Linked DNA regions of Arabidopsis thaliana. The protein of the gene in region 1 interacts with the protein of each later gene in a pairwise test. Each region holds a gene or a part of one and is shown in the gene's direction. Other genes may lie near its edges. The genes, in order: AT5G64430, AT5G63130 and AT1G67170.

Evidence for each region.
Region 2: the proteins of AT5G64430 (region 1) and AT5G63130 interact in a two-hybrid assay, tested with the Arabidopsis thaliana proteins (one large-scale study listed by BioGRID).
Region 3: the proteins of AT5G64430 (region 1) and AT1G67170 interact in a two-hybrid assay, tested with the Arabidopsis thaliana proteins (one large-scale study listed by BioGRID).

Annotation. Positions count from the first base shown.
Region 1 is NC_003076.8:25,757,557-25,768,504, reverse strand, and holds AT5G64430 (Octicosapeptide/Phox/Bem1p family protein), read left to right. Parts: upstream 1-4,084; 5' UTR 4,085-4,423; coding exon 4,424-5,965; 3' UTR 5,966-6,345; downstream 6,346-10,948. Other genes in the region: FAAH (fatty acid amide hydrolase), read right to left, coding at 33-84, 227-298, 446-521, 600-712, 847-994, 1,071-1,148, 1,301-1,430, 1,507-1,697 and 3 more; AT5G64420 (DNA polymerase V family), read right to left, coding at 7,383-8,236, 8,333-8,786, 8,952-9,239, 9,347-10,513, 10,658-10,885.
Region 2 is NC_003076.8:25,318,115-25,329,007, forward strand, and holds AT5G63130 (Octicosapeptide/Phox/Bem1p family protein), read left to right. Parts: upstream 1-4,860; 5' UTR 4,861-5,075; coding exon 5,076-5,235; intron 5,236-5,324; coding exon 5,325-5,743; 3' UTR 5,744-6,625; downstream 6,626-10,893. Other genes in the region: HDA6 (histone deacetylase 6), read right to left, coding at 1-113; AT5G63120 (P-loop containing nucleoside triphosphate hydrolases superfamily protein), read right to left, coding at 853-971, 1,067-1,300, 1,823-2,049, 2,150-2,235, 2,340-2,432, 2,601-2,755, 2,840-3,001, 3,093-3,272 and 2 more; AT5G63135 (transcription termination factor), read right to left, coding at 7,139-7,294, 8,183-8,326; PAP29 (purple acid phosphatase 29), read left to right, coding at 10,123-10,423, 10,553-10,893.
Region 3 is NC_003070.9:25,122,517-25,133,455, forward strand, and holds AT1G67170 (sarcolemmal membrane-associated protein), read left to right. Parts: upstream 1-4,656; 5' UTR 4,657-4,867; exon of another isoform or gene 4,868-4,915; intron 4,916-5,179; 5' UTR 5,180-5,210; coding exon 5,211-5,794; intron 5,795-5,927; coding exon 5,928-6,073; intron 6,074-6,172; coding exon 6,173-6,264; intron 6,265-6,371; coding exon 6,372-6,629; 3' UTR 6,630-6,941; downstream 6,942-10,939. Other genes in the region: AT1G67150 (transmembrane protein, putative (DUF247)), read left to right, coding at 72-208, 913-1,736, 1,814-2,091; AT1G67160 (F-box/kelch-repeat protein, putative (DUF295)), read right to left, coding at 2,303-2,434, 2,683-2,731, 3,411-4,582; AT1G67180 (zinc finger (C3HC4-type RING finger) family protein / BRCT domain-containing protein), read left to right, coding at 7,583-7,705, 7,799-7,932, 8,007-8,169, 8,544-9,119, 9,204-9,392, 9,477-9,653; AT1G67190 (F-box/RNI-like superfamily protein), read left to right, coding at 10,538-10,939. UniProt on the Arabidopsis thaliana protein: Has no transcriptional activation activity.

The DNA of each region.
Region 1 (10,948 bases):
ATAGTAAATATACTATGACTGAGAAAGTTTACCGGTTTCAAATTATATCTATCAGCAGATGAAGAACCCAAGATTGCAGCATACCTGAAAGTAAACACAAAAAGGCAGATTAGTTTTAACATCCAGGTTTCTCAGAAGACCAAACATCTGAATTAGATAATTTATGGTTTTGCTTCGAACAGATTTACAAAGAATAATTCTCGTCTCAAAAAAGATTAAAACTTACACCAAGAAGGCATCTTCCAGAGATGAAGCAAGTGGACCAATTATTTCCACTGTTCCACCTTCACATAATGACCTGCAGAGATGACAATGGTCACATAAGAAATCATATGCAAATAATGCTGGCCATGGACCAAGGAAAGCAAAAGTAGAAACCTGTTAAGACACAAGGAAGGGGGAAAAAGGCCTAATGGGTTTCTAATAGGAATCCTGATTCTCTTACCCTGTCATATCTGTCCGACCATATGTTGTCTTCAGTCCCGTTATACCACAAAGTGCTGAAGGAATGCGAACGGAACCTGCATTTTCAGAATCATTAAACCTAGTAGGTATGCACATCATTGGTCAGATCAAACGAATAAATATAACTTTGATACCTCCACCATCTGTTCCTAGAGCAGCTGAACATAGTCCAGCGGCTACAATAGCTGCTGAACCTGAGGAAGATCCGCCCGTGTACCTTTTAGGATCATGCGGGTTTCTTGTGGTTCTGCAATGCACCATACCAGAGGAGCATACACATGAAAAACTAGAGTGAACTAAAGGTGCAAGAAACATACTGAAGTAACAAAACAGTTTTATGTCTATCCGCAAGATTTGTGTGTCCTCTGCTGTGTAGCTTACCCGTAATTTGAATTGTTCCCGGTGGTCCCCATGCCTAACTCATGCATATTTGCCTTGCCAAGTAAGATTGCACCACAAGAACGCAGTTTTGAAACAACAGCTGAATCCTTCTCCACAGAACGATCCTCATGCAGCCATGTTGTTCCACCTTTAATGAAAAACTCTATGACAGTTCTGTTGTATCTGGAAGTATTCTTAGTAACATATAAGAATAACAGACTCACCATTTGTCGGATGGGGTAAACAATCAATATCGTCCTTGATTGTCACAAATATTCCATCCAAAACAGATATTGGATTTCCTACACAGCTCACACCCAACATGATCAACACAGATCTCAACAATCATGTCTAACACCTCACTGAAGCTGACACTTTAAGCAGATACAATAACGATGCTGCTGTGATAATATCTGGACTACAAAATGTATCTTGGAGTATGCATAAATTTTACCTTGTTCAAACCTCCGTGTAGAAGCTTCAGCTTGCTTTATGACTTCATTGGCATCAAATCTAATCAAAAATGGTGTTGGAGGCTTGTCATAGCCAAACTCCTCTATGATTGAGATTATTCTTTTTGCTACCTAGCAATAAGCAACAAGGCTCTCTGTTAGTGCCAAAAAAAGAGAGTAATAAAACTAAAAAATTCAGATGAAAAACCTGCAATGGAGTTGTCAGCTTAGATCTATAGGCATATGCATAATCACGAATCTTCCAGTACCGGAAAGATGACACTGGATCTGCATGCAAGCTACGAGAAGGATCATACTGAGGAAGACATTTCAAGGCTGTTTCCAATCTGTCTATAGGACTTTCATCTTCGCCAACAATGACAACATCATGCTCCGGTTCTAGTAGAAAATCATACACACAACACAATCATCCTTTTGAGGTGTATATATTGATTACTCATTGAAGTAATCTTACACAATATTTCATGTAAGTATACAACATATGATTGTAGGAGAATAGATGACAGAGAAGAAGAATATACCTTGAGATGGGAACTCCGGTCTAAACATGGGCTCTTCTGGTATAACTGTGTTGCGAAAAATCTGCCAGTGACAACACGGAAAAGCACATACATGTAAGAACATTGATCATCAACAACCCTGAGGAAGATATAAGTCAAGTTTGAACAAACTAGACCTTTGTCATGCCATTGTCTTTCTTCAAATAATCAACAATCAAAGAGCCTATAAGTGGTGCTTCAAGCAAATTAACGAACAACTTGAAGGAAAGGCCAGTCAAATGAGGAGCTGCAAATTACAGAAAACCATGTAAAAGGCACATTCTCATGTCTATGCAGAAAACCCACAGAATTAATGTGCATTTGTAAAACCAACCAGACCTTTCATGGTTTCAGCTTTATATTTGACAGTAGAAAGATCAACCTCACTTGCACGTTTCATGACCTGATACTTACCCATCTACAAACAAAACATCATTAAGTTTGGAATTGATATCATAGATCACACACGTCACTGTTCTATAAGTCAAACACTTGAGAAAATTGCCAAAACAAAACAAAACCGATGAATCTCTAGTATCTTTCACCTTATCATAAGAATCTGTTATCCAGAATCAGAACAAATTAAGTGAAATAAAAAACAAAAACTGGTAAGAACTATGAGAATCGGAGAATCCAAGTAATCAGATTCAAGGAAACCACGCCAAGGCAGAAATTTCAGAAACCAGAATCACAGGCGAAACGAACAATGGTTGTGGAAGATTCGGATTGCGAACCTGAAAGAAGAAACTTAAAAAGAGGAATCTGAGAAACGATGATCCGATCCGGCGAAGGATTACTAAATGAAGAAAGCCGTGCGGAGATGAGCGGTGAAGTTGTTGGGAACTTGAATGTTATATGTTAGCTTCAAATCTTAAGCTTCTTGTACTGATTTGTACATAATTCAAGTGTACATTGAACTCGTCTCATTTGTTGAAATGTTCCAACCATGTTCTCAAATTTATGAAACTACCCCTTTATTATGTAAATATATAATTTTGGCCCGTTAACTAATGTTTTTCATTATCACACCTAACAATTTCTTTATATTTACGATGAAGTAGTGAAAACACTTTCATTTGCATTCAGTTGGATTTTTTGGTTTCCATATGGAGCCATTTCATATGATACTTACTAATTCAAAGCTAGGAATACTTCATTTATTTGATTTGGTTTCATTTGAACATAATTGGATTTATGTTAGTACATAGTTTCATTTAAAATAATATTCGATTCCATTTTTCTTTTGTGCTTATTAGATTCGAAAAATTTGATTCGTTATAATATTCAAATATTACTACAAGAAAACTATCAATAATAGGACTAACTATATAAGAGGCTCTTAAGTAATCAAAAAGTATGGTCGACATTCGTATAATGCTAAATTCTAGTATATCTAGTGAAATCAAAAGTTTTGGCTAAGATGCATCTTTACCAAAATTCGGTTGATTGACTTGCTCTGCCAAGTACAAACAACCACGAGACACGACTTGATTTATGACTGATCGAGCAACATCGTACCGGGACGGCGGGCCGATTAGTCCATATATATATGGATTATTTAAGAGGATGAGAAAATAATGAACATTTCTAAGTTCTAACACAAAATAATATTGGAAGAAATACTAATCAATGCACATGTCTTCGACAAACAAGGAAAACAACAAAAATTGTTACGTGAATTTGACAATATAAATATTGTTCTTGTACGACCATGATTGCACCTTCGGCATGCTAGTGAAATACGTCTATTATAAGTTTGAATAATTACAACAATTTCACCGTTTATAATAAGGTGCAAGTTGGCAATAATCTAAGGTATATAATAATAGCAAACAATCGAGAAAGTGAGTATACACTCACCGGTGTCAAATTTAAATTATCTTATATTCTTGATGTTAATTTAACATAACAATTTTTTTTTGTTGACCCTTTTACAGTTTTCTTCTGCATGTTGACAGACTAAAAAACATCTATCTTCTAGAACTAACCCAAAGACTATTCGGATGTGTAATACAGTTGATGAATGATGATGATTCAAACATTCAAATATTTGTTATACACAAAAGAAATCCAATAACACAATCATAAAACATATCTAAGCCTGATCAGGCGAAAGATCGACGACAACGACTTTTGTTTTTCCCTTTTTCTTAACTATTTATTTATCACTTAACCTTAAAAATATTGCTTCACTAATGTTGATTTAACAAAATATTAAGAAAAAACATGTAAAAGGCTAAAAGCTGGCCTCTTTCAACGTCGAAGTATCAAAACACTAGTGTTGGGCCCATTCACAGTGTCCCCAAAAGTCATATTAATCCATGGAGAGATTCAGCTAACGTCACAGAACCGTCACATAATCTCATCACCGCCTTAAAACTCATAAAATCTGACAGGCCACGTGTAAATGAGCAATAAGTTCACGTACTCATTTTCCAACACCACCATCACCGATACATAATAAAAACCATTTCATCACAACAGTCTTCTTCATTTCTTTCTAATTTCTTCTCTTCATGAATTAAGCCAAACCAACAAAAAAAATCATTTAATTTTCGCGGAGAGATGGAGAAATTCTCGTACAACTCTTATCCAGATTCAACCGACTCGTCACCGAGATCTCGTGAGATCGAATTCGATAACCCGCCGCCTCCATGGGATGATCAGAACCAGAACCAGCAGCAACATAGCTACAAGGTGAAGTTTATGTGCAGCTATGGCGGCAAGATTCAGCCACGGCCTCACGATAATCAGCTCACTTACGTAAACGGAGAAACGAAGATTCTTTCCGTTGATCGCGGGATTAGATTCCCTGTTTTAGCTTCCAAACTCTCCACCGTATGCGGCGGCGGTGATGGCGGCGGAGGAGAAGTTACGTTTAAGTATCAGCTTCCGGGAGAAGACTTAGACGCTTTGATCTCGGTTACGAACGATGATGATCTGGAGCATATGATGCACGAGTACGATCGCTTGCTTCGTTTGTCGTCTAAGCCAGCGAGGATGCGTTTGTTTCTCTTCCCGGCTTCTTCTGGATTTGGTTCTCAAAGTTCGACTCAATCGGATCGAGATCGCTTCGTCGAGGCGTTGAACACTGTTCCTAGGCTATCTGAATCGGAGAAATCCGTAACTGCTCCTCCGAATAATGCGGATTTTTTGTTTGGATCGGAGAAAGTTGCAGCTCCGCCGCCGCCACCACCGGCTGAGGTGAAATTACCGGTTCCTGTGGCGTTAGAACCGCCTTTGTTTAACGATCCGCGTGTGATTCAACCGGATCACGTCGTAAATCCGATGGAAATTCAAAGACAAATGCAGGAATTTCAGAGGATGCATATTAGGGATCAAGAACAACAACAACAACAGGAAGCTGTATACAGAAGGAAGAGTAACGAAGACGGTTTAATAGAAACCGGAGGTGGATACTTCTCTCCACCGTACATACAAAATCCTGCGCCACCACCGCCACAGCAGACGATTCCTCAAACGAATCCGCAAGCTCCTCCGATGACGACTTTCTGGCAAGGAAACCACAATCCAGGAGTCGTATTTCCAACAACCACACATGGATTAGGATTACCAGAGCAACCAGTTTACATGATCCCATCTCCATCTCCATCTCCGGTGTACCACGCGCCACCACCACCGCAACCGCAAGGTGTCATCAGACCAATACTTACAGGACAAGTAAACCAAGGCGGCTACTATCCTCAGGTACAGAGAGTGGCTTCAGATACTTACAGAGAACCACACCAATCACCGTACAACGTGGCTCAGCCACTTCAGGCACCTATAGGAACAAAAGCAGCACAACAACAACAACCTCCTCCTCCTCAGCCTTTTACCTCTGGTCCTCCACCACCGCAATACACCGCAGTACCACCGCCACGACAAGTAGTAGGATTACCAGATACATCAGCGTATACTCAGGTGACTTACACTGGAGGAATGGGGAAACAAGTTTATTACACGGAGGCTCCACCGCCGCAGTACCATGGAGTTGGCTTACCTGTAACTGGTATGAGTGAATTGAGAACTGGACCGGACGGGAAGCTTGTTGCTATGAACATGGCACCTAAAGTTTCATCTCAGAGTTCAGATTCGGCTGTTTGATTGATGAGGTATTTCATATGGTTGAATCAGATTATTGTTAATCTATTACAACAAATTTCATCATCTTTTATATATATATATATATATAGTGTAATTAAGATCACTTTGGTGTCTGATAAATAATGTTTTTTTCTTTTTCCCTTTATCTACTTGTTTATTTTATCTTATGATGATGTTCTTGATTCTGCAACTTCCATCGCGTTGCTTAAATCCAGTCTATTGTGCATTTGATTGCATTTATCTGAGAACCTTTTAAGCCATTTTACCTTTATTTTTCTTTTCGCCATAATAAGCTGAACTCCTTTTTTCTATCCAAGTGGTGTAGTTGTCCTTCGGCCATAATATATATGGGTTGTTCCACATGAAAATCATTTTGTTGTGGAAGATAGAACATTTCAAAATCAATAATTGGCTTCTTTGTAAAGAGATAAATATACACTCTCTCGTATGTGACCAGACTTTTAGTTAAATGGTCTACTAGAAGTTCTCTGCGTCATCTTAGCTACATTTAAACCGAATTTTCTACAATATATGATTTTAAAATATAAACTGGTCCAAAGAAAACTATCTATCAAACTCAGGGACAGGTGTTATGGGAAAGGATATTATTAGACTACGAGTTTTGAACTTTTAAGAATCCTTACAAAGAAAAGTCATATAGCTTTAGTCACTCACTTATCGGCCATGTCATAAACTTATTTGTTGCATCCTTCCCGAATCAATAAACGACACTTTAAGTATGTATATGAATCACCATCAACATCATCACGGAATACAATGCATCAATCGAAACAGAAAACCCCCCTATTAAATTATGATATCTAAAACAGGTGTCTCTTTTACACTAGTCTATGTCTCAGGTAAGTCTCACTTTATCAATTTTTGGATCATTTTGTACTCTGTCAACGCATGAATTCCCGAATTTGATTTTATCCCAAAACCGTAACTATATCATCGCAATGAACAATCAAAGACACACCAGAAACCCAAATGAACATATATATGTTCAAGAAATATATATGCTTCTGTAGATTTTTGCCCCCTTCAGACAAAGTTTTCATCAATCTCCAAAATGAGTATGTATTTATAACAAAGAATGTCTGACAAAAAAAAAAAATATATCTGATAAAGAAAATCATATGAAATCCATAGTTTTAAACATATTCTCAACCTGTAAATATAACCAACATAACAACTTGAAAACAAAATTGATGAATTATCATAACAAATCATCTCTTTGGGACATAAGTGAGAATGTAGTATCTTTTGGAATCAATGAATAGGAGAAATCCTATTCAAACTTGTGATTCAGATCCTGCGAGTTTTTCTTCATAGAAAGATAACACAAGAAAAACAAAAAAAAAAGACGAGGGTTTCACCAAGATCAACGTATGGTGATACTTTGGAGTAGTCTGCGTTAATGCTCTGTATTCTTCAGATTCAAGAAGAGATCACCGAATGCATCTTCACATGCTGTTCGACCATCTTGTCCCAACCCCTTGAGGAAAGATTTGGTGAGTTTCAACGAAGAGACCATCTGAAAGATCCTGCCACAGAATTTACGCACCTGAGCTCGCCTTACTTTAGCCTCAGGCATGTTTCCAACTAGTTCTTTAATCAAAAGAATCAGTTCCTTCAGATGGGTCGTCATTGTTTTTCTCGAATCTGCTTGGGTGTTTTCGTTTATAGGAATCAACGATCTCAGAGTTTCAGTGATCAAATCAAGAGCTTCCAGTCTACGGAACTCAACATTTGCATTCACACTTGCCTCCAGAAGGAAACCAAACAGTTGGTGTCCAATCCATGGTCTCCTTCTAAACACTTCCTCAAGAAAATCTATCTTCAACTGAGACTTCCTGCTATCAAAGTACCCGGTAACAGCACTCCGAAACACATCCAAGATCTTCTCCAATTCAGTTTCTGAGAATTTTCTCGAGTCAATTATCTTCATAACCCAGTAAGTTGAGTTCTGGCCAAGGTGGGTGATCATCTTGTATCGGTTCCACGCAGCTGACTGCTTCTTCTTGGAAGGGTCAACTCCTGACTTCTTACTCTTGAATGGTTTCGCAGCCAGTTTAAGATTCTTCTCCAACAAAGAAGCAAGTGCAGAAAATTCCATTGATTCATCCTTGGGAAACTCTTTAGCCTTGAAGATCTTCTTCTGAATGATGCCCCATATACGTTGTAAAAGCGGCAGACTACTTTCTGCAGTGCTTGGGTTCAGCATTGCCTGAACTAAGTTTAAGTACACTGTCATAACTTGTGGCTTATCTGTTAAAAGATCACCAAACCACAAAGTACAGAACTTAGTAGTGACTATTATCGTGCATTTCATCATACCAAATCATTGTTTTATGATGCACTTACCTGAATTTTCATGGAGGTAGATTTCAAGAAGGGAGAGGACACGGAGTTTAAACAAAACAAGCTGGGACTGAGCAGTTTCGCCGCCAGCTTGATTCCTCTTCTCCTTGAATATCTGGGCAAGGTAAGTGTCCATGCGGAACATTGCATCATCATCCATTCCATCATCATCATCAGAATCATCGGAATTTTCAGGAACTTCTCTGTCAACTGCCATAGGGACAACGCCGGTTACTGCTTCGGAATCATCAGTCTGCTCATCGCTCTCACCAGTTTCACCCATCTCCTCGTTTTCTTCTTCTGCATCTTCAATAGCAAGACAATCTTCTTCATCATCATCAAGATCGTCAGAGTCTTGGTCCTCCTGATGTCTAGACGGTTTTAGATCTTTCTTGATCACCCGCAACATTCTCAGCAGTCCATCGTTGGTGACATCTTGACAAAAGTACTTAAAAACCTACAAGTTACATAATATTGTGGAACTCTATTAAACTTTGAGCTTGAGCCAATTGGAAACAATTGAACCAAAGGATTAAATTGAATCTCATTTTAGCAGCCAAGGATCAGTAACTTCAAGAATAGTAAAAGAAATGAATTTGTTTGCTAGTGGTGAGCTTATTACCTGCTCAATAGAAGACCGCATTGGAGCTGAAGAATGCGGCAAGAGAGAAAGTAATGTGTCCACGAGGACATCCATGACTGCTGGTTCTTCTTCATCGTCTGCCTCACCTTGCCCATCACTTTTCAGAAGATCAAGAGAACTGAAAGCTTTGTCACAGCATACTGAAAGTTCAGTAGCAGCTTCTGAGAATTCTCCCGGATGGAGGAGTATTTGAAGCAACAGCTGAACAACTAAGTGCCTCAATGCATGAAATTTATTTGGATCAGTAGATAGTCCACAATTTCTTTCCTGCCACATAATAAAGATGTACAACTTAAACACACAAGCACATAGACATTATTTTGGTAAGATTTCAACTTACAGTAACATTAAAGCAAAACGAGTAAGAAACTTACCTCCTTTAAAAGTTTACTTTCTGTTTCTTGTAATTCTTTGAAAGCCTTTTCATCTGCTTCATTCAAGGAACGGAAGAGGGAAACTGAGGGAATATTCTGCAACGTGCTAAGGAATTTCATAAAGTATGAAACAGGATCATCGGGCTGTTCCAGGGCATTTCCTTTAGATAGTGGTTTCTCAATCTTCTGAGAATTTGACAGCAACAGCTGAAGCTGTTCGATGCACATTTGGCAAAGAGCAGCAGGAGTAGCTGTCTTTGGCCACTTAAATTTCTCCTGCAACTCAAATGATGTAACTTCAGTGCCCAGAGAAGCCAGAAAGAGACCTTGTACAGCGAGAAATTTCAGGATCTGCTTCTGAAGTCGCAGTTTCGCCTCAGGGGACAATTTAGCATGTTTTAAGATGCCAGGGAGAGATTCAATGACCCAGCTTTTCAGAACATCCGAGTTTCCGGTTGTTCCAACTGAATCCTTCTCCTCATTTGAACCATTGTCAGAATTATCATCCGTTGTTTGACTCTGATCTGAATTCAAAGAGCAAGGTTCTAGGGACCATTTCATATTTGAAGATTCTTCAGGAACATGCTGTTCATCCACAAACAAATTCATCAAGTTCTGGAGATAAAGTGTGCAACCATCTTCAGTTTCAAGCTCTGCAGCTAGAACTTTAACAGTTTTTGTCCGCGTAATATTATCAAATTTTCCTTCGCTGTGTTTCTGGAGAGCCATTGTAACGGCCACCCTCTTGGTATCGTCATCTTTCACCCAATCCATTAACTCGACAAGAAAATGGGTGGCAACTTTATGCAACCAAGAGTCCTTTGTGGAGAGTATATCCATGAGGCACTGAACAAATTTGAGCGACAATACATGTTGGATAAAACTTGCAGGAAGCTTTGGAAGAAGAAGAAGCAGGATATCAAATGCCAAATGCTTGCGAACATGAGTTGAAGAAAGTAGGTCTCCTTCCATAAAAACTTCGCAGAAATTTCTGATGTTATTTGTGGCTTCTTCTTCAACTGGATTAGACTTCCGGTTACGTTTTTGCTTTTTCGAGGAACTTGAAACAGATACGACATCTTCGCTTTGAACAACTGCTTCCGGTAACAGCATATCGACTATAACAGGCCATAAGCTATGAACACGAGGCTGGCAGAAAGTAGATTCCTGTAGAAGTTCACAAAAAATATCTTTTAATAGTGGAAAAAAGATGTTTTGATATTAATAAGTTACAAACTCATAACAATCTGCAGACAAGATCTTAACATGTTCAACCATTCTACATAGCAAAAAGATGGGTTTGCGCTGTACCTTCAAGCAATTACCAATGGCAGTGAGATGATCAGCAGAAAAAAACTTCCCGGAACTGAAAGGAACTGGCAGTAGCTTGCTAAATATAGGATGATCGACTGAAACCTTTTCATGGAGTTTCAGCGCTAAGAGCAAAGCATCTGGGTTTCCCACCTCGGTGGCTTGTTCAAACCATTTATAAAGTTCTGGAGCTTCCATAACATGAGTAACAACAGGTTCAGTAGGCAACTGCACAATAAAAAAGATAGGATCACAAAAAAACTTCACAATGTGTAATAAACCCGCACTAAA
Region 2 (10,893 bases), 440 kb from region 1:
TGGCCTTGACCGTAGTAGTAGTCTCCGATCGTCGGCTCGTAGAAGTAACTGACTCGCCGCTTACGTCCGTCGGGTCCCGACGGCAGAGAGATGCCGCTTTCGTCTGCCTCCATCTCCGTCTCTCACTCAGAATCTCTCTCTCACTCAGAGTCTCTCTCTATTCCCAAGTTTTACTCAGAGCAAAATTTGTGTCAACAATGCCTGAGAAAGTCATTACTAGGAGTTGTGGGCACAGCTTATATATACACGCACATTAATGATTACTTACATTATTATCTTTGCGTTAAAAATTTAATTTTAATAATTACTGAATGTTAAACTAACGATCGATTATATAATTCCAAATTCGATTCAAACATAGCGAATTATTTTTAACTTGTTTTCCTAATGGTAGACAATGTTAGACAAATAAATGTAAAGGGTTTTTTAGCTAAGTATGATCTATTTACACATTTCACCTTAAGGATTCGTAACTAGATGTTGTTGGGAAAAAAGAGAAGATATACATGTTCTAGATGTTATAGATGCTTACATTTGTCTAAATTCTATTCGCAATACTTGAATCTCCCAACCTAATAATCCACATCCGATTTTTAAAAACAAGTTTCATTACAGTGTTACGGTTGACTTGAGAGTAAAGTAGTAAAGTGTATTTAGTTGATAGAATTAAGAAAAAGGCAAAATGTTTAGAAATATCATGAAGAAGAAGAAGAAGAAGCAGCGAAATCAGCTAAATAGTTATATAGTAAATGTTTGTTCTCTACGACAAAGAACTTCTAGTCGAAACCAAACGCTGATCATCATCATCATAATTAAAGGTTTTCTCATAGAATCAAAATGATGGGATTCTCTTTACCAAGTCCTCTTTCCACCGTGAGGTACAAAGTTTGAAGTCGATCTTGACCGTTTATCTCCAAACCCACCACCACGTCCTCCTCCTCTTGGCCTGAAGTTTCTTCCACCACCTGAACCTGAACAAATCAACAAAATTGAATCAGATCCTCGTACCAAAATTTAGCAAGATTGATTGAACTCATCAAATGAGAGAAGAGAAATGAGGTTTCACCTCCATAACCAGAACCAGATGATCGGACTAGTGCGGAGAGAGTAGGAGGTACAACTTGACCAGCTTCTTGAAGGATCTTGACAAGCTCTCTCGCAAACTTAGCATTGTCATGTGTGAAGAATGTAAAGGCCATTCCTTTAGCTCCTGCACGCCCGGTTCGACCAATCCTATGGATGTAATCCTCCAATGTATTTGGGAAATCATAATTAACCACACATTTAATGTCCTTCACATCTGTAAAACAAAACAAAAGAAGAAAGAAGGAACACAGTTGAGAAGTAAATCATAGACTGAGATGAAATGCAGGAAGAAGAACAGAAATTTCTTTGTGTAAATGAGTTTGGTGTTTAAAGCCTAGCTAAGGAGAGGATAGAGAACAAGAACCCCTTATCCCTACAACTGCAGATCTGGAAAGATCAAGAAACTAAGAGCAACACATTTTTCCCAAGTAAATGTGCCCACCTTAACTTGCAGGGATAAGGAGTGTTTGGGACGGCGTTATAACACTATTAATGCATGCAGGTGTCAGTCGCCCAGGCTGCTCAAAAACCAATCAGCTCCATGCCCGGGAGATGGATGCAGGAAACAAATTCTTCAAAGAAGCTCCTTTTTTCTTTCTATGTGCTTTTTTCCCTAATACCAGAGGAAACTGTGGAAAGCGGCAGCCAGGCGACTTTTTTTATTATCTTTAAAACCCCAAGAAAACGAAATGCTCTAAGTATAATCTCTCCTATTGTGTATCACAGTTAATCCTACCAAGTCCCCTTGCTGCTACATCAGTGGCAGTCATTATCGGGCTTCGTCCACTCTTAAATTCTGCCAAGACTCGGTCTCTTTCCGATTGGGTCTTGTCACCATGTATGGCAAGAGCTGGCCATCCGTCCATTCTCAATTGTCTAGTCACTTGATCACACCCTCTCTTTGTCTCCACAAAAATTAGGATTTTACTCCCATCCATTAACTGTTTAAGTAGTGTAAGGAGCCTATCAAACGAGAAAAAAGGCATAAGTATCATATCATATAAGAAGGCAAATAAATATATATATAAATCGTTTCTTATCTAATGACAGAAAAATTAAGAACCTGTTGTATTTCTCTGGCGTCGGTACAATCTCGATTACTTGGTTAATAGACTGGTTAGCTTTTAGATCTGTTGATCCAATAATGGCCTACAAAATAACAACTGTTTTCAGTGCACAACATAAAACATCCCCTACTTTATTCAACAACAGTATACTCAATCCTAATAAGTTAAACTAAATAGCAAGTAAACCTTATATGGATCTCGTAGAAACTGCCTGGCAAGAGTTTCAACCTCTCGTGGCCATGTTGCACTCCAAAGAAGTGTTTGTCTATCAGGTCGGATCTGTGAAAAATAAGGAACAATCTCAAGTTCTGAACAAAAGCCGTGATGGTTCTTATTTAGCAACAGAACAATAAACTGGGAAGATAAAATCTATCGACTAATAATGTTGGTCAACCACCCTTTCCTTAAAGACACTACATGATAGCTTTGGAGAAAGTACAAACATACCTGAGATACAATCTTTCTAATTTGGGGTTCAAATCCCATGTCTAACATTCTGTCAGCCTCATCCAGTACAAGGTAAGTCACTCTCTTCAAATTAGTGTGTTGACATTCCAACATATCAATCAAACGACCAGGTGTAGCAATTACAATCTCAACACCTGACAAGCCAATCATGATTCATAAACTTTGATGTTCCATCCAAGAACCAGACATGAAAACTACACTATTAAAAAATAAAATACCTCTTCTAAGATCACGAATCTGAGGTCCTTTAGGAGCACCACCATAGATACAAGTACTTCTAACACCAGACCTCAACCCGAATTTCCTTGATTCCTCTTGAATCTGAACAGCTAGTTCTCTTGTGGGAGCTAATATTAACACAATGGGGCCATCATCCTGACCTATATTACACCCCAACAATGCAAATAAAAAAGTTGCCGGAAAAATGAATGCAGCTTAAATCAGAATATCACATAGTGCTGTAATACTCACCTAATCGAGGTTGTGCACTAACGTGAACCAATGCTGGTAACAAGTAAGCCAATGTCTTACCAGAGCCAGTCTCAGCAATACCAATCAAATCCCTACCCTTCAACGCCATCGGCCATCCCTGAGCTTGTATAGGTGTTGGCTCAGTAAATCCCAATTTAGCAATTGCTTCAAGAATGTTATCTAACAGATAAAAGGAACCATTAAACTAAGAACCCAAATTAGATATAAATGAACTGGAAACTCTATGACCAATCCAATCAAAATACCTGGAAAGTTAGCATCTTGGAACATCTTCATCGGCTTAGGAACATCACGACCTTCAACGGATATATCCCTCTCGGTTCTGTACATTGCAACATCCTGCTCTGTCATAGCTTGCACAGTGGGACTCTCCACATAGAAATTCTTCTCAAAATGTACAAGATTCCCAAAATTCTGCTTCGGAAGAGAAACACTATCTAGCTCTCTTTTACTCGATCCGCCACGTCCTCCTCCTCCTCCCCAATTCCCTCCGCCGTTTCTATCGCCGTATTGACCATATCCACCTCTTCCACCACCGCGGCCAACAGAGAAACCGCCACTAGGTGGCTGGAAAGATGGGTACCGATTATAGCCGGAATTATCACCGGCCATTACCGGAGATGGTCCATATCCTCCACCACCACCAGTGTACCGTGGGTTGTATGGTGCGGCGGAAGGATCCATCGGCTGAGACGAACCAACTGGGGCGCTAAAGTAACACAGAGAAGATAAGTGTTACAGATCGAAGGAAACAAAAACGAAGAAATTGGTCGATTGGTTTCACTTACCCAGAGCGTTGGCGATACGAATTTGGATCAGCAAATCTACGATCATACGAGCTCATTGTAACTTAAGATGGTTATGGTTTTTGATCTCTCGCTCTCTCGCGTAAATTCTACTACGTAACCTTGGAAACGAATTGATGCTACAGAAGGAAGATAGTGCAAGGAAGACGACGAAAAGCCGCAAAAGGAACAAAAAGCTTAGATTTTTTTTTTGATTCGTTTTGGACAGTAAAATTCCCAAATTAGTAACCCTAATTTGTCCCACCATTTTTCTGTTCTTTTTATTGCGCGAATTTAATTAATTTCCTTTATTTTGTTGGTAATCAGATATGGGCCATGACTAACCACTTAATGGGCTACAAATTGGACCCAAACAATTGTTTAACTTAAATTATTGGAGGTTTTGTGATGGGGGAGTCTATTGCTTTAAACATTTTGCCAACAGTGTCGAATCAAATTTGGAAAATCTTAAAGTTGCGATGGGATTTTTCAGACATACCATCTCATGAGTCATGTGACTACACCAATCCTAGTCATAATACATATTTTCTGGAATAATACCATATACTGTATGTTATTTTCTAACTAGTGAAAAAGTATACATTTGACTTGACCCATAATGCACAGTATTTATAAAATCGAATCATTAACATTACATGGCCATAAGGTCATACTTGACATATTTATAATTTCAAACATAATAATGTTCTTGCAGCAAAAAAAATAATAAAAAAACAAAATCATGTTCAGAGCAATCAGTAAAATTGATGGTAATTAACAATAACATTAACATGGAAGAGACTGCCAAGAGGAAGGTACAAATCAGATTCAGCATTCAATATTTGATTAAAATTTTATGACTAGTTTTCTTTGATGACCAAACGTCTATAATGATGAGCGACTTTTAAGAAAGAAGATTTCTTCAAAATGGAATCAATTAAACAAAAGAATATTCCATTGTTGGAAATAACAGAATTGTCCAAAATGCCCATAGAAGATCCAAGGAATTTTCTATTTGCCCATACGCGTAATATCCCACCATGACATCACTCCTTCCCTATAAAACCCATCCATCTGCAACCTTTCTTCTTGGTTTAAGACACCAAAAACAAACACTCAATTATAAAAAGCTTCCCTCTTCTCTCCCAAATCTTCAAAAATTCAAAAAAAACTAACAATGGTAGCCGTTGATTATACCGAGAAGAACAGTGGAAGCAGTCTCAAGTTTCTATGCAGTTACGGTGGCAGAATCCTCCCTCGCTCCACCGACGGCAAGCTCCGTTACGTCGGAGGTCACACCAGAGTCCTCTCCGTTGATCGTTCTATCTCTTTCTCAGGTTCGTCTCCACTTCAATTTCGTATTGAAATCGATTCTATTTCCGATTTCGCCGAATCTGAGATTGATTTTTTAATTTTGTTTCTCCAGAGCTGATGAAGAAACTCTATGAATTCTGTGGATACTCCGTTGATTTACGATGTCAATTACCAAACGGAGATCTCGAGACTCTAATCTCCGTCAAATCAGAAGAAGAACTAGCGGAGATCGTTGAAGAGTACGATCGCATCTGCGGAGCCAAGATCCGTGCCGTTCTATCACCTCCGAGATCTTCGCATAAGACCGAATCTTCGCCGTCTTCAAGCGGTGATCGATCTCCAAAATCGCCGTTCTCCGTCACGCCTTCACCGCCAAATTCTCCGTCGCCGGCGTATGGAAGATATCTACAATCTCGGTATTGTTTACCTTCCACGGATCTTCCTCCGAGAAGATACATTCAGAGAGCGGAAGAATCGCATTGCTGCTATGCGTGTCGTGTACACAAAGACTCTAGGCTCGTTTGGCATTGACGGAGATTGGGGAAATAATCGAATATACGCCATAGATACGAATACCATGATAATGACGAAGAAGACGCAATTAAAGGATTTAATTTAGGGTTTTTAGAAATTTTTACGATGTGTTGATTTTTTGTGAAGAGAAGAATTAAAATTTTCCTATACAATTACCGGTCGGAGACGTAACCGACGGAGAAATTAATTTAGACGGAGTATATACCGGGACGTTAGTGGCCGTTACTAACCGTTAGAGTCGCCGTTACGACGTGTTTACACGTACGACGTTTGTTTTTTTGTTAAACGTGATACGTGGCGAATAGTGAGATCATCTCGTGTAAATATCGGAGATGTGAACACGTGTGTTGTCCGTGGATTAGTTACGTCACACGTGTCAACCTTTCGTCTTCTGGAGTTTGTTTTTCTTAACGAGGTTCTTTTTTATTTTACTTGTTTGATAAGTAATTTTTTAATTGTTTTCTCAACTTTATAATATTCGATTTTTTTTGTCTGTCTCATCAGGATTAGAGAAGGACATGAGATTACTCACAGTCTCACACGGAGTTCCTTTGTTTATTCGATTCAAAATTTTGCCCGACTTGAGAAAAGGACCATCAAATATATTAATTAATCAGAAAACTATTGGAAAAAGAAATGTTAGTCGGCGTATTTTAGTTGACTTCCTAAATATTCGCAACTTGTGAATGGGACAGATGGAGGAGTGGAGAACTAAAGAATGAATAAGTTGGTGAGCAAATTGTCCCATCTTAACTTGAAAACTTGGAACTCCACAAAAAATATTTGAAGTTGTTCATTGATTATTTCGAATCAAATTTTGAAGTAACAGTACCACATATTTCTTGTTTTTCAGCATTATTTGTTGAAATATCAACCAACCAGCACACGAAATTGGGCTTTCTTAGCATTTTTATACATATTTAAAGTCAGAAACGAATCTCAAATTATTAATTCATACAACCAATCATGTTCTTGTTTTTTATGCTTTTGGCCAAATAAAATTTATTCACGTAAAACCCAACTACATATGTTTTCGTTTAAATTTGTATTATTTCTGGTCAAATATCTTACCCGTAGTTGGCATGTACAGGCCGGTCTAAATTTTGAAAAATGTCATCATCATCAAATCACTACAATCTATAAACCATAAAATTCAATGTCAATACACTAACACAATTAACACCATGAGATTGAGACAATTAACTACGAATAATCCACTGACTAACCTTAGGGCCAAAAGTGAACATTTCAGTCGTTCCTAAGAAAAGAAAAAAACCTGGTTTACAAAGTCAGAATCACAGTCGTTTTATCACAAGAAGATTTAGATAAGGGTCCTCAAGTTTCAAGCCAATGCCATCAATAACCCTTGTGTATTTTCGGCCTCAAGATTATTTATCCGGTTTCTTGCTCAAACTCTTCACCATCTGATTCCTCTGCATTATCTGCATCATCATCCTCTGCTTCATTATCATCCTCTTCTTGTTCGTTGTTGACGACTGGTTTTCCAATTACCGGTAAAGCAGGACTCATCTTTCTGATCTCGTTGCACTGCACCAAACCCAAGACAACAAGAATTTACTTAGAACTTGTCTTAAAACATTCATAACAACAACACTGAAACTGACAATTAGCTCTACTGATCTCTCTCACTTTTGAGCTCCCACGTCTATATAATCACACAATCTAATATATTTAAGAAGAACATATAATTAGAGGTAACACCAACACATCACACGACAAGGAGACATGTTGTCTAAAGTTCACAATGGCTAAATTCCAAATCTGCAAATTTTGTCTTTGCTTCTTTCCTTTCACTTGCTAGTGATTCAGGAAACGGAACTAGTTTTCAAACATTGGAAAACATGTAACAATAAACTCAAATCCTTTTCCATACTAAATCTAGAAACCAAAAATCTCTCCAATTTAAACTCGAAGATCACCCTTGGATCTTTATACATTATTACGGGTCTAAAGCTATAAGATGATAGTCCAATGAACACAAATGCATATATCCATAGAGTCTACACTGGAAAAACCACTACACTAGAATCACAACTCGACATTGGTATCCACTAAAATTCTCACTTTTGTACTAACTTAAAACTCAAACATAGGACCCAAAAGAATATGTTCCAAAGCAGAAAGATTCAGAAACTCATATTCATCTTATCAATATGAAGTAGAGAAGAAAGTGATCTGCCTAAAACCAAAATCATCACCACGGATCGAAAAAGATTGATCATTTACAAAGTAGAAACCACTTATAATCTCGAACACAATCAATAAATTTCACTCATAATCAGCTCAACTTACATGAAACTAAAGATCTAAGATTGACCTTTTATGCTGCCTGTAGTGACAGTCGAAAACTGAAAATTTCCTATTCAGCAGATTCCGAAGGAGAACGAATACATAAATAAAAAAGAAGGAAGCTACCTTTTCTTCGAACTCAGCTTCTTCCATGGCGAGAAGAATCTCCTCGTTCTGCGGCTGAGGCCATTGTAACGGAAGCAAATACGATGCCGGAATCGTCTTCGTCGACGACGGAAATTGGGTCATCAACGTCGGAAACTGTAACATTCTTCTTCTCTTCCTTTTTCTCTCTTAACGAAAATTGATGGAAAAGTAAATAAAGACCAAAAACACAGTGCATTTATTATTGGGCTTTTATCTGTTTAGCCCATTGTTATTGGGTAAAGATAAATATAATTTTGACTATGAGTAGGGACTAAATGTTAAATTTGGGCTTGTAAAATTACAAAAGCATAATTTGAAACCCATTGGGCCACTCCCTACCTTCCGCGCGTGACTTAAATTTGAAACTAACTAACAACGTCTTAAAAATTAAAACTCTAATAACAAAAACGTAAATAGGCATCTGATCTTTTGATTGGTGATGGAATAGTAACATTCCAAATATTTTGATTACCCATAAAACATCGAATCTTGCGAATTCATAGTACTTTTTGTATTATTTTTTGAAAGCTATATTAACATTTTCGTTTATCATTTATGGTAGTATTTATGTATCTTGTTTTAGGTTTTCGAAATAAACTTGTTCATGTCAAAAGAAATTGAAGAAATTCAAACGAATAAAATTAATCAACTCTAATAATTTTCTTATATTTCACCAGTCTACTATCATAATGAACATACTTAATTGTAATGTTTGTTAGTATGTTTTCTAAAATCCACTATTTAACTTGCATGCCATTGCTGTTTATATACGGTCTCTAACCCCCAAAGGAGCCAATTATAGATAAAATACTGACTATCAATTTTGCAAATTTGGTGGTGTGAATAGTTGTAAAGGCTGTACATTGCGTAAAAAAACTTAGGGTAAAATAAAAAAGCATCACATAGTTATTTTAAAAAGGCCAAACACACCTTTAAAAAGGATAACTCTTTACACCTTTATCCCACACCCCATTTCCTTGTGAGAAAGAAACTATGCATGCGGGAATATAACAATACGGCTTTGCTTCTCAATACAACGACATAAAAACTCTCTTTATAAGACTCTCACACACACATATGTTGATATGTATAATACACGTCTCTAAATTTGTGTATCTATCTACATTACAATATATATAGTTTGATATCAATCTACAATTGAAAGCATATATATATAAGTATGTTTCTTGCTTCAGTTCTTCACCAAAAACTTGTGTTCTTAATCTTGGTTTATCACGATGAAATTGTTGTCGATGATGATGATGATGGAAGCTATTGTCCTGGCTAACTCACCTTGAGGTCCTCGATTCCATTGATGACGCTAAATGGGGAATAAGCATTCCTGGTCCGATCCATTTCATGTCACTTAAATCTTATTATTTCGTATAATAATCAAATTCAATGTTGTTCAAGTTTGTATTCGATGTTTTAATCACTTACGTATGTATTTTCTCATGGAATGTATCGTCGAACTAATTATTCAAAACGACCTTTATTTTGAAAGGAATGCTTTTTTATTAATTGGAAATTACAAACGAAAACAAACAATTTGTGTCCCCAACTATATTTTTTGGACCAATTAACTAATCACTAAAGGTCTCATGTGGAGACTTAATAAACCTTAAATGTAATTGTCATTATGAGTTTGAATGACGTTATGCTGAGTTCAATGAGAAAATATGGTTGGTAATTGGTAGTTGTGTGTCATAACTCGTAATTAAATCACGCCACAAATAATTAACTCGATGCTAATTAAGAATAAAACCTCTTTTCAAAATAAACAAAATTAAAAGCTTTCCATGTCAAAGTTGCTTCCTTTGGCTTCTTCCTACACACTTGCTTCACATGTCTACTACACTGACTGACTGACACAACGATAAAGTACACTTATCGTGTTTCTTGGTCTCATCATAAGTTCAATGGCGGACAATCGAAGAAGAAGAAGCCTATTCGACTTCCTACTTTTCTCCGTGTTTCTAGGACTCGCATGTCTCTGTTTATCTCCGATTCCGGCAACAGCTCAACGTCGGAAACTCAGGTTCAGTGTTAACGGCGAGTTCAAGATACTACAAGTGGCGGATATGCATTTTGCTAACGGCGCTAAGACGCAGTGTCAAAATGTTCTTCCTAGCCAGAGAGCTCATTGCTCAGACCTCAACACCACCATCTTCATGTCGCGAGTCATCGCCGCCGAGAAGCCTGATCTTATCGTCTTCACCGGTAAGACCCCCAAATTGAACAAAACCCTAACTTTTCTTCTCGTGATTTGAAAAATCTTAACTTTCAGGATGTTTACATAAACCCTAATTGTGAAATTTCGAATCTTTTTGGGGTTTTGTTTCGTTTCAGGTGATAACATATTTGGGTTTGATGTAAAAGACGCTTTGAAATCCATAAACGCTGCGTTTGCTCCAGCGATTGCGTCTAAAATCCCATGGGTTGCTATTTTGGGAAACCATGACCAAGAATCTACATTTACAAGACAACAAGTTATGAATCACATTGTGAAGCTTCCCAACACTTTGTCTCAAGTGAATCCTCCTGAAGCTGCTCATTACATTGATGGTTTTGGTAATTACAATCTCCAAATCCATGGAGCTGCTGATTCGAAACTACAGAACAAATCTGTTCTTAATCTTTATTTTCTCGATAGTGGAGATTATTCTAGTGTTCCTTACATGGAAGGTTAT
Region 3 (10,939 bases), on another chromosome or scaffold:
CTTCGGTATCTCTTTGATTTTTTTTTAACTATTATTGATGTTGAAAATATAAAGCTCATAAGCAATTGGAGATGGGATCTCAAGACCCTTGTATATACAGAGTGCCAAGCCAGTTGCGTGAAGTGAATCCAGAAGCTTATAGACCTCGGATGCTTCTCATCGGCCCTCTTACTCATTCCAAGAAACCTAAAGTTCATACGGATTCAAGGTACGCAGACATAGCCTGGACGACCTTTGTAGCCTATAATCAATTTTTTTTTTTTTGCATATAATCATCTTCTTAACATTTATTTCATACAACGTATTTTTTTTTAATCGTAAGAAAGAAAAAAAGAAGAAGAGGACTTTTGTTAAGTTTTTGGCTGAGTTTTACCCTCTTTGTTTTGTTAGCAAAAAAAAAAGTAAAAATTCTGCAATATACCACTTTCAGTTTGCTATTGTTCATATATTTCGTACAAATTTGTATAATCTATATATATGTAAGTATTCATCTCTATTGTTTTGTGGTACTTTTGAGAATATCTCAAAACATAACAACGAAAGTAACATTAAATCCGGTAATGTCAGGATTTTAATTTTGTTCCGAGAGCTTTTTACGAACTACATTTTACAATCAAATTAACATTTAAACCAAACAAAAACAATTTGCAGTTATATAAAACAGAAAACGTAAACAGATTAATGAGTCTCTTCAAGAAAAAGTTTAGTAAAATCTTGATTAAAGTAGAATCCAATAACATCAAAATTTAACAGAGCTTAATAACATATTGATTGAATAACAACAAATTCTTCATAACATTAGAACACTCTGTAAATCACAAACCAATAACACCACTTTAGTCTCTTTAGCTCCTACTTCATATCTTTTGTTTAATGATTAATTACTTACACAATATAGATATTAATGTTTAGATGCTTTATTAGGTATCTAGAATATAAGATGATGGAGGACCAAAAGGTGTTGTACAAAGACGCTTTCACCAAAAGGCTAGATACTGATATTGCTATTCTTGAGGATATGAAGACCACCATAAAAGACGAAGAAGTAAATATTCGAGCAAGCTATGCGGTATCGACTGCATGGATATTATCCGATATATTCGTGGAGCTTATACTTAACGATTCAATTTTTATCGTGGAGTTCATTCTCAGAATGTATGAAAGTCATGAAAAAATTGGTGACATGATTGTGGACAAACCTTTTTACACTTCCACGGTTCTTGATGACCTTACCTTGCTCGAGAATCAGCTTCCTTACTTCTGTTTAAGTAAGTTGTTAAACCCCATTACAAAGAGATTTTGTGGAGATCAGTCGCTGGACCAAGTCATCCTCCAGTTATTTTCAGTCAATGATAGTGGCATGATCAATGAGAATACAAAGTTCAATCACTTCACAGATTTATTCCGGTGTGTTTACAAGGAATCACTTGGCCAGAATCTAGAGTTGAACAACTCGAAAAGCCAGATCGTGGATATGAAGAGCGCGAATATGCTATACAGTGTAGGAGTGGACTTCAAGGTAGTGAAGCGTGAGTATTCACTGAATGTATCATTCGAGGAAGGTTGCTTAATATTGCCGAGTTTTCCTGCCGATGAATCTTCTAATATCATCCTTAGAAATGTCATCGCATATGAGCAATGCCATGATCCTGAAAATGCCTTTACTACAAATTACATAAATTTCATGAATTTCCTTATTACCTCCGATGAAGACGTGGCTATACTCACTTCAGCAGGTACAAACATTATAACACATTATCTCTCTTTCTTTTTTGGCTAAGTTATAGTATATGATTGATGAATATATCCACAGGAGTGCTAACAAACGGTGTGGGGCGGTCAAGCATGGTACTGAAGATGGTGAATAACTTAGCTATAGGAGTGTTGCTATCGAATCAGAGCCAATATCACGACATTGTTGAGAAACTCAACATTCACCATAGTTCTCGTAGGAAAAGGATATGGGCGAAACTAAGAAAAGTCTACTTCAGCGACTTATGGACGACAACAGCTACGTTAGCTGCCATATCTCTTTTGCTACTGACTCTAGCTGGGACAGTGGCTTCCATTTTTCAAGCTATCAAGAGCTAATGCAGTTGCATGCTTCGATCTCCTAAAGATTGTATTCAACTCTTGTTATTGGAATATTGGATTTTCCAAAATTATATTTATTTCTCACATATAATTACGCGAAACATTTTGTTTTCCAACAAATAGTTCACAAATTTAAGAAATACAAACAGCTTGACCGAAAAAACGTAAAGCAAAATAGTACAATATGGATCCTGATCTTTTGACTTGCTCACTTCTTTCCAATCATGTTCTTTCCTTTGGTTGTTTTCTCTCGCTGCGTTGTTGTTCCATCTACGTTATTAACTATTGTCGTTTTCTCTCTCGTCACTGGTTTTGTCCCTTTTAAATTGCTTTTCTGAAGCTGATGAAGGAAAAATAAACAAGAAATTAGACAAGACACTTCCAAAAAAAACCCAGCATCGAGTCACTAGATCATAAAACGTTTATTTATCTAAGTATATGATTATATACCCCTTTCAACGCGGTCCGACCTGCATAGATAAACAAGACATGTTAGTTTCATACAAGGTAGTACTTAGTTAATCATATATAAGTTATTTCAGCTATCTTAATTATTCATCATGTACAAATTAGCCCGAACGTACGTACCTTCTTCGCCTGCAGAATTACTGGATGAAGAATCCATAGATGGAAACAACTAAACAAGAGATCAGAGATATCCGTGAATACGAAGCTTGTTTTTTTTATTTTATTTTTATTTTTTAATGTTCTTAATTTCAAATATATAGAGAGAAAAATTATTATTCTTGTTCTCTTAGGGACGACGCCTTGTAATTGGTCTGCTCACAAAGCAACCGCACTTGTGTTTTTTGATTCATTGAATATAATTTATGAGTGACTAACTAAATATTTAGTAAAGAAAGTGGGAAAATAATAGTCAACAAATTGAAGCGTTAACCTTGCCATAAAATCGTCTTTTCATTCAAAAAGTGAGGGATTAAATTACATAAGAAAATTACAAAACTTTTATTTCATAGGCCAGAAGTCTAGAAGGTACGTAGGCCAATATTCTAGTTTGTTCATCATAGGCTCATCGCGATAAACTCCATATGATTAACTGCAACACTATTTGTTATGAATTTCCAAATAATGTATTTTAATTTTGAGCTAGGTTTCATATGAAATCAGAATAACAAAATAGTAGTACGAAGTACGAAAAAGCAATTTTAAAAAACAGCTAAAAACATAACAAAATAGCAGTAAGAAAAAGTGGAACCAAAAAGCTGAAAGTATCAAAGCCGTGTTGCTAATCAAACCCAAAAACAAATAATCCACCCTTACCAAAAAGACAAAACTTGATAGTATTAATTCACAACCATTTATCACCAAAAGTGGGGAAAAACCAACGAGCATCCTTGAAAAGTTTTGTCGAGGAAGTAGTTAGATGTTCAAACTCTTGGACCACATAATCGCTTCCGATTTGGTAAACGCAAATACGGTCAGCGTTATAACCATCGCGTAGACTAATCCCACAACATCTATGATACTGATCATTACTAAAATATATGCAATCTCTCATAACTCCATCTTTGGCCGGAACCGTAATTCCTAAATCCAAAAGCAATGCCTCGTCCCCTATAGACTTGATTAGTACTGTAAATTCTGATGATTTTGGATCCATCTTATTGACAGTGAAGACGCATTTAGCCTCTGGAGAACTATCCATTTTACCACCTACAATGATCAAAACTTCTCCAGACAAAGTCACAGCAAGATTGCTGAAATACTTCATATGAAATCTATTTACACACACAGACGATCCGAAACTTGCACATTCCATTTCTACTGGAGAAACACCACCGGAGAAATCAAAAACAGTGAGACATTGATGTGCACTAATCATGTAAAGCTTGCTTTCTTTAAACACCATATCAACACAGCCTTGATGCTTTATTGGTTGAAGAACTTTCCAGCTATTGTTGTCATCTCCTCTCTTGTGATGATATGCTACATAACTAGAAAGATTACAAAACACAAAGTAATCTCTGCTTTTGTCATCTACCCACAGAACCGCTTTGTCTATTTCTATATGGCTACCGCTAATGGGTCTCTTGAATCGCATATACCGTTCTCCATCGATTGATTCGAGAGACGGAAGAAGAATCCTCTCTCGAGTAAAAAGATTCAAAAGATGAAAATCAGCTCTATGGTCGAACATAAGGAACCAACTACCGGAACTCGCTAAACAACGACTCGTAGACATATCAAACCCTAAATCTCTGATTATGTAGGTTTTGTTTTCATGAGGATCAAACAACTTACATGAACCGTTGTTTTCGACATTTTTGTTTGGAAAAAGAATGATCCATGGAGTTGTTGGATTTGTTACTCCGATGACTGATTTCGAAGCAACATACCATGTTGAAGAAACGCATCTCGCTCGATGAAAATCAACGAAGCTCAAGCGCTCCAAGATTAATCTAACTAGGTCCACGATATAGGCCGCTTCGAATCGTCCTTCCATATTTTTTCCGTCGGAATCGCTCATCTCCTTCTTTTGTGCTATTTCACGATTTTCAATCTTAGGGTTTGTGCTCAGAGACGTGGGGGAGAAGATGAGTCAATAAAGTTAATGAGGCTATTGGGCCATTATGTAAAATAGGCCCATATATTAATGGGTTTCGTTGGATTAGAAATCTTAACTTGTAGGAAAAAAAAAATTCACGCCGGCAAAAGAAAAGAAAAAAAAAACCTTCGCCGTCGTTTGCTTAGTCTTCTTCGCTCTATCCCAACACTCGATCAAATAATCCCAGTGAGCTTCTTCCATTCCAAGGTACGAATCGATAAAGTCATCAAACCTATACCTTTTCAGGATTTAATGGTAATTAGTCAGGATCTAAATCGTTTCTTCGAATTTGATTTCGGTGATCTAGAACCCTAATTTGGTCGGGAATTTTCAAATCAATTGATTTCCCTGCCCTAATTTAATTTGATGATTGTTCTGTTTGCCTATGAATAAGTTTGATTTCAATGGCAAACAAAAAAAAGAGAGACATTGATTTGAATATTTTTACTTAGGTGCATTGATTCTGCAGATTGTGTTAATGTGTGTCACTCTTAATCTTCTGTCTTATGTTTTTCTCAGTTGATAAGGAATTTGAAGAAGCCTTTGTTTAATGGAAAGCAAAGGAAGAATCCATCCATCTCATCATCATATGAGGCGTCCTCTTCCAGGTCCCGGTGGCTGTATAGCGCATCCGGAGACTTTCGGTAATCACGGTGCTATACCACCTTCTGCTGCTCAAGGTGTGTATCCTTCCTTCAACATGTTACCTCCACCTGAAGTTATGGAGCAAAAGTTTGTGGCACAACACGGGGAATTACAGAGACTTGCTATAGAGAATCAGAGACTTGGTGGAACTCATGGTAGTTTAAGACAAGAGTTAGCAGCAGCACAGCATGAAATACAGATGTTGCACGCGCAAATTGGGTCGATGAAGTCCGAGAGAGAGCAACGGATGATGGGTCTTGCTGAGAAAGTTGCTAAAATGGAGACTGAGCTTCAGAAATCTGAGGCTGTTAAGTTGGAGATGCAACAAGCACGTGCTGAGGCACGGAGTCTTGTTGTGGCTAGGGAGGAGCTTATGTCTAAAGTGCATCAGTTGACTCAGGAACTTCAAAAATCTCGTTCTGATGTGCAGCAAATACCTGCTCTGATGTCTGAACTTGAGAATCTAAGACAGGAGTACCAGCAGTGCAGGTAATGGTTGTAGAATGGAAGTTTCTGATATCACTGGCTCCCGACACTCTTCTTATAGTTATTGAGTTTGTCAGCTTTTGTATCATCCTCTTATGAAGGTTGGGATGAATTTGATTTTATCTGATTCTGGCAGGGCAACATATGACTATGAGAAGAAGTTTTATAATGACCATCTCGAGTCACTTCAGGCAATGGAGAAGAACTACATGACTATGGCTAGGGAAGTTGAAAAACTTCAAGCACAGTTGATGAACAATGCAAATTCAGATAGAAGAGCAGGTATATTGAATTATTTAGTTAGTTTCTGCTCTATTTAGCTTCATTGTTCCACGAACTTTTTTCAGTAATTTAAGAGTTGTATCTGTCAATCAAATGAAGGTGGCCCTTATGGTAACAACATAAATGCTGAAATTGACGCTTCTGGACATCAGAGTGGAAACGGTTATTATGAAGATGCTTTTGGTCCTCAGGTTCGTGAGTTTCTCTTTGCTAGCTCGTCTTTTTGAGACCCATTATAGTTTTCCACATTAGTTGATTTAGATGTGCTTGAGCTATATACGTTTTGTTACTTTTGCAGGGATATATTCCTCAACCAGTAGCTGGTAACGCAACTGGACCAAATTCAGTTGTTGGCGCAGCTCAATACCCTTATCAAGGAGTAACTCAGCCAGGATACTTCCCTCAAAGACCCGGTTACAACTTTCCAAGAGGCCCTCCTGGTTCATATGACCCAACAACAAGGTTACCAACAGGACCTTACGGCGCTCCATTCCCACCTGGACCATCTAACAATACTCCTTACGCCGGTACACACGGAAACCCTAGTCGCAGATGAGTCCACCAGCTAAGAGTACATATATAAATAACTCACCAGCTACAGATTCCTTCAACTGTGGAATTGTTGCCTGTTTGGTCCCATAATCTTTATGGGTAAAGAGAAGTTGGTACAGTGGTGAACGTTGAGTGCTATTGTTTAACTGATTTTGTTGAGAGCTTGACTTTTGTGAGACGGTTTTCAACAAGTTTTGTGATACAGAGAGATGTAACATCGGGAAAGAAAAAACAAAGAAAGAGAAATTTGTTGTTTGCCCTTCACCATTTTGTCTCTATGACTCTATGTTTCACTCAGTTAAAAAGTTTACAAATGAATCGAAAGTTAAATTTATCTTTGTAATACTGTAGTTTCTAGTTTTAGTTTACTTTTGAAGGGCCCATTTTATTTTTTATTTTATTTTGTGAGAAGGGCCCATTTCATATATATATATATATTATTTATTTTATTTTTGGACAGAATACGAGTTGTTTTAAAAAAAAAATATTTTTGAAACACCGTCCGATAAAATTATTGAAATTTTTTGATATTTTTAAATTCCCGCCAGACTCCCATCTAAATTTCGCTTCTCCTTTAGCCATTTGCTTCCATTGTCACGGACCTGAGAAAGAAGGGGAAGAGAGATTGAAGCAAACAAAGAGATAATCGCAGCAACTTTGTACCAATTAGACCAGGTAATTCTTCTCCAATAAAGAAATTGCAATTTCTAAGGTTTCATTGTTCGATTTCTGTAAAAAGGTTTTTGATTTCTCAATTCAATTGCTGAAATTTGGTTCAGTTACCTCGATTTTAAGTTTAGGGTTTACCGATTCTGGCCCATTTGATACGAAAGATGTAAGCTTTTCCCAATATTGAATCCCCTTGGCTATATAGGGGTTTAATCGCACAATTTGATTTAGAAGAAATTGTTGCAATCCCCAATTTACGTTTTTCATTTGGGTCTGATATTTGTAGGTATGGAAAATGTGGTTGCAACTGTGAGTGGTTATCATGGATCCGATAGGTTTAAGCTCATCAAGCTTATTTCTCATTCTGGAGCAAGTTATGTTGGGGCAATGTCAAGATCTATTACACATTTGGTTTGTGTAGATTGTTCTGTTCTGTTTATGTGATTCATTACCACTGTGGAGAAATGAAGACATACCCTTTTGTTTAATTGGTTATGTGTGTAGGTGTGTTGGAAATTTGAGGGCAAAAAGTACGATCTTGCAAAGAAGTTTGGTACAGTAGTAGTGAATCATCGATGGGTGGAAGAATGTGTAAAGGAAGGGAGAAGAGTTTCCGAGACGCCTTATATGTTTGATAGGTATGCTTATTGGTTTCCGGTCCTTATAGCTTCTATGTTCCTCAAAGATGATTGATAAAGCCTTAATTTTTCAGTGGAGAAGAGGTTGGACCTTTGATGATTGAACTACCTGCAGTTTCTGAGGAAGCTAAAGTCACTAAGAAAGTGAATAAGGCTTCTGAAACTTTTGATAAATACTTTAGTAATGGTGGAGAAAACCGGAGTGGCTCCACTTCTGAGCTTGCCACTTGGATGGAGGTAATCCTCGTTCTCTTATTACCTATTTGCTTAGATAGTAGATACAAGCCGCATCTAGGTTTCTACAGCTATTAGTTTAGTTTTTATTGAATTTCAGTAATAGAACAAATGTTTTGTGTTGTATACTTCTATATCCAAAAGATCAGAAGAGAATTATCTTTTTGCATAGTATATCTAGTATCATTTGAAAGACCGATGTGCTGATAGCATATCCTCATCAGATTTCATAGCTACCAAGATTAGCTTTGCGTAGCCACTGTGGAAAGTAACATGTTAATTAGTGTGAATGTAATTGCTTACTTGCATGACTGTTATGTGTATGGTATACTTAGTTTGTTTTCTTCATGTCTCTGGGCTTCTTTGTTGCTCTTCAGAAAAATGTAGAAGCAAACAGACACTCAGTGCGATTAAGAACAAAGAGGCCGAGTAGTATTCTTGAAAACAAGGAAAACAGTGGTGTGGCAGAATCTTCACGGAAAGGAAAAAAGCGGGTAGTAAAGCAACGCTCTTACAGAAACCTTATCGACCTTGAATCTGATGAGGAATCTGATAATAACCATCATGACAACTCTGATGAGAACCAAAATGAGACTCAGGATCATAGAGAGCCTGCTGATGAAAATGTGAGGGGTTTTGTTTTCGAACAAGGAGAAACATCAGCTCTTCGACATCCTGGAGACTTGGCAACACCAAACTGGGATGTAGATGAAATAGAGGAGTCTGAGAATTGGAGTCATTCAGCTGTTTTTAAACGCCCTAGATCATTTAGTCCAGAGATAAAACCACAAGATGATGATGAGTCAACAAGAGAAGAGACAGAAGCAACTGAGAAGGCTCCTGCACAAGTTTCTTGTATCATATGCTGGACCGAGTTCAGTTCCAGTAGAGGCATTCTCCCTTGCGGCCACAGGTTTTGTTATTCATGCATCCAAAAATGGGCAGACCGTTTGGTGAGTTTATCTTCCTTGCTTTTCAAACTAATTCTCATAAAATCCATATTGGTAAATGATGCAACTTCCTTATTATATCTGCAGGTTTCAGAAAGAAAGAAAACAACATGTCCACTGTGCAAGTCCAATTTCATCACAATCACAAAGATAGAAGACGCTGATTCTTCCGATCAAAAGATATACTCACAAACAGTCCCTGACTTATCTTCAACAAATAACATTCTTGTAGTACTCCCTGAAGAAGAAGAACAAAGACAAACTCTCAATCCACTGGTAAGCCGAGAGTATTGAGCTACTACGCGATCTTGTTCTTGATAGCAACAACATTCTATTGTGTTTTGTTTTTTTCTCCTGCAGACTCGAGCTTCAGGTTGCAGCAGATGCTACTTGACTGAGCCAGAGGAGCTTCTGATAAGATGTCACCTCTGCAATTTCCGGCGAATCCACTCCTATTGTTTAGACCCTTATCTGCTTCCTTGGACCTGTAACCATTGCAATGATCTTCAGATGATGTACCACCGTCGCAACTACTAAATATATACGTATGACAATAATGTTTTGATATTTGAAATGATGGACAAAATATCCTCCCATTGTTTATGGAGAAAAATTTATTTATAATTGATTTAAATGAAGTTCTTGGTTAAAAATTAATATAACATTAAATTATACAGATCGAACCATATCAAATTAAAACTAAAAAAGTTGGGTGTCAAATTCAATAAAAATTTCCAAATTCCAACTGTCTAACCAAAAGTCACTTTTAAGTTTTAATTAAACCACAAAAGCAAATTGCCTAGAAAAATAAATTAAGCAAAAAGCTCTCTTTCAGTAAAGATGCCGTTTATTTTTCATATCCCGCCATGACCCCACCACCCAATATAATATTCATTATTTATTTTCTTTTGATTTTAGTTATAAAAAAAAAAAAAACTCAAGTCGTCGTCTCTCTCATTTTCTTCTCCTCTAAAATAACCAGATCGCCTCCTCCAATCATCTTCTTCTTCCTCCTCGCAGATCCACCGTCGTCAACTATTTTATTCATCCCGGAGAACTAAAATCGGTATACAGATCTTCTATCTCGCTTCATTGATCGTTTTCTTCCTTCAATTTCTAATCATCTCTGTTAATATCCATTGGTTTGATTCATATCTTTCGCTGCAAAATTCCTCAATATTCAACACATTTACGCCATTTTATCCTTACGATTTCGTCTCTCCTGACTTTAAACTTCGATATGGTTTCTGATTCTGCTGATTTGTTCGATGTTGGCATTATCTTGCTTCTGGTGATTTGAGATGTAATGTTTAGATCTATGTTTTGTTTAATGTAGTTTGGATCAAAATACTATTGAATCATCTCTTGGAATTGTGTTAGACTTTGATGTTTAATCTATATATCAGTGTAGGTTTCGAATTATGGACTATCTTCCTGTGGAAGTTATTGGAAACATACTCTCACGTCTCGGAGGAGCTCGTGATGTTGTGATAGCTTCAGCAACATGTAGAAAATGGCGAGAAGCTTGTAGGAAACATCTTCAAACACTTTCTTTCAATTCCGCTGATTGGCCGTTTTATCGAGACCTTACAACGAATCGTTTAGAGATTCTTATAACTCAAACCATTTTCCAAACCATGGGGCTGCAAGGTCTTTCTATTATGATGGATGATGCGAATAAGTTTTCGGCTGCCACAGTTATCGCTTGGCTTATGTATACGAGAGACACTTTGCGGAGATTGTCTTATAATGTCAGGACGACTCCTAATGTTAACATTCTTGAAATCTGTGGGAGGCAGAAGCTTGAAGCTTTGGTTTTGGCT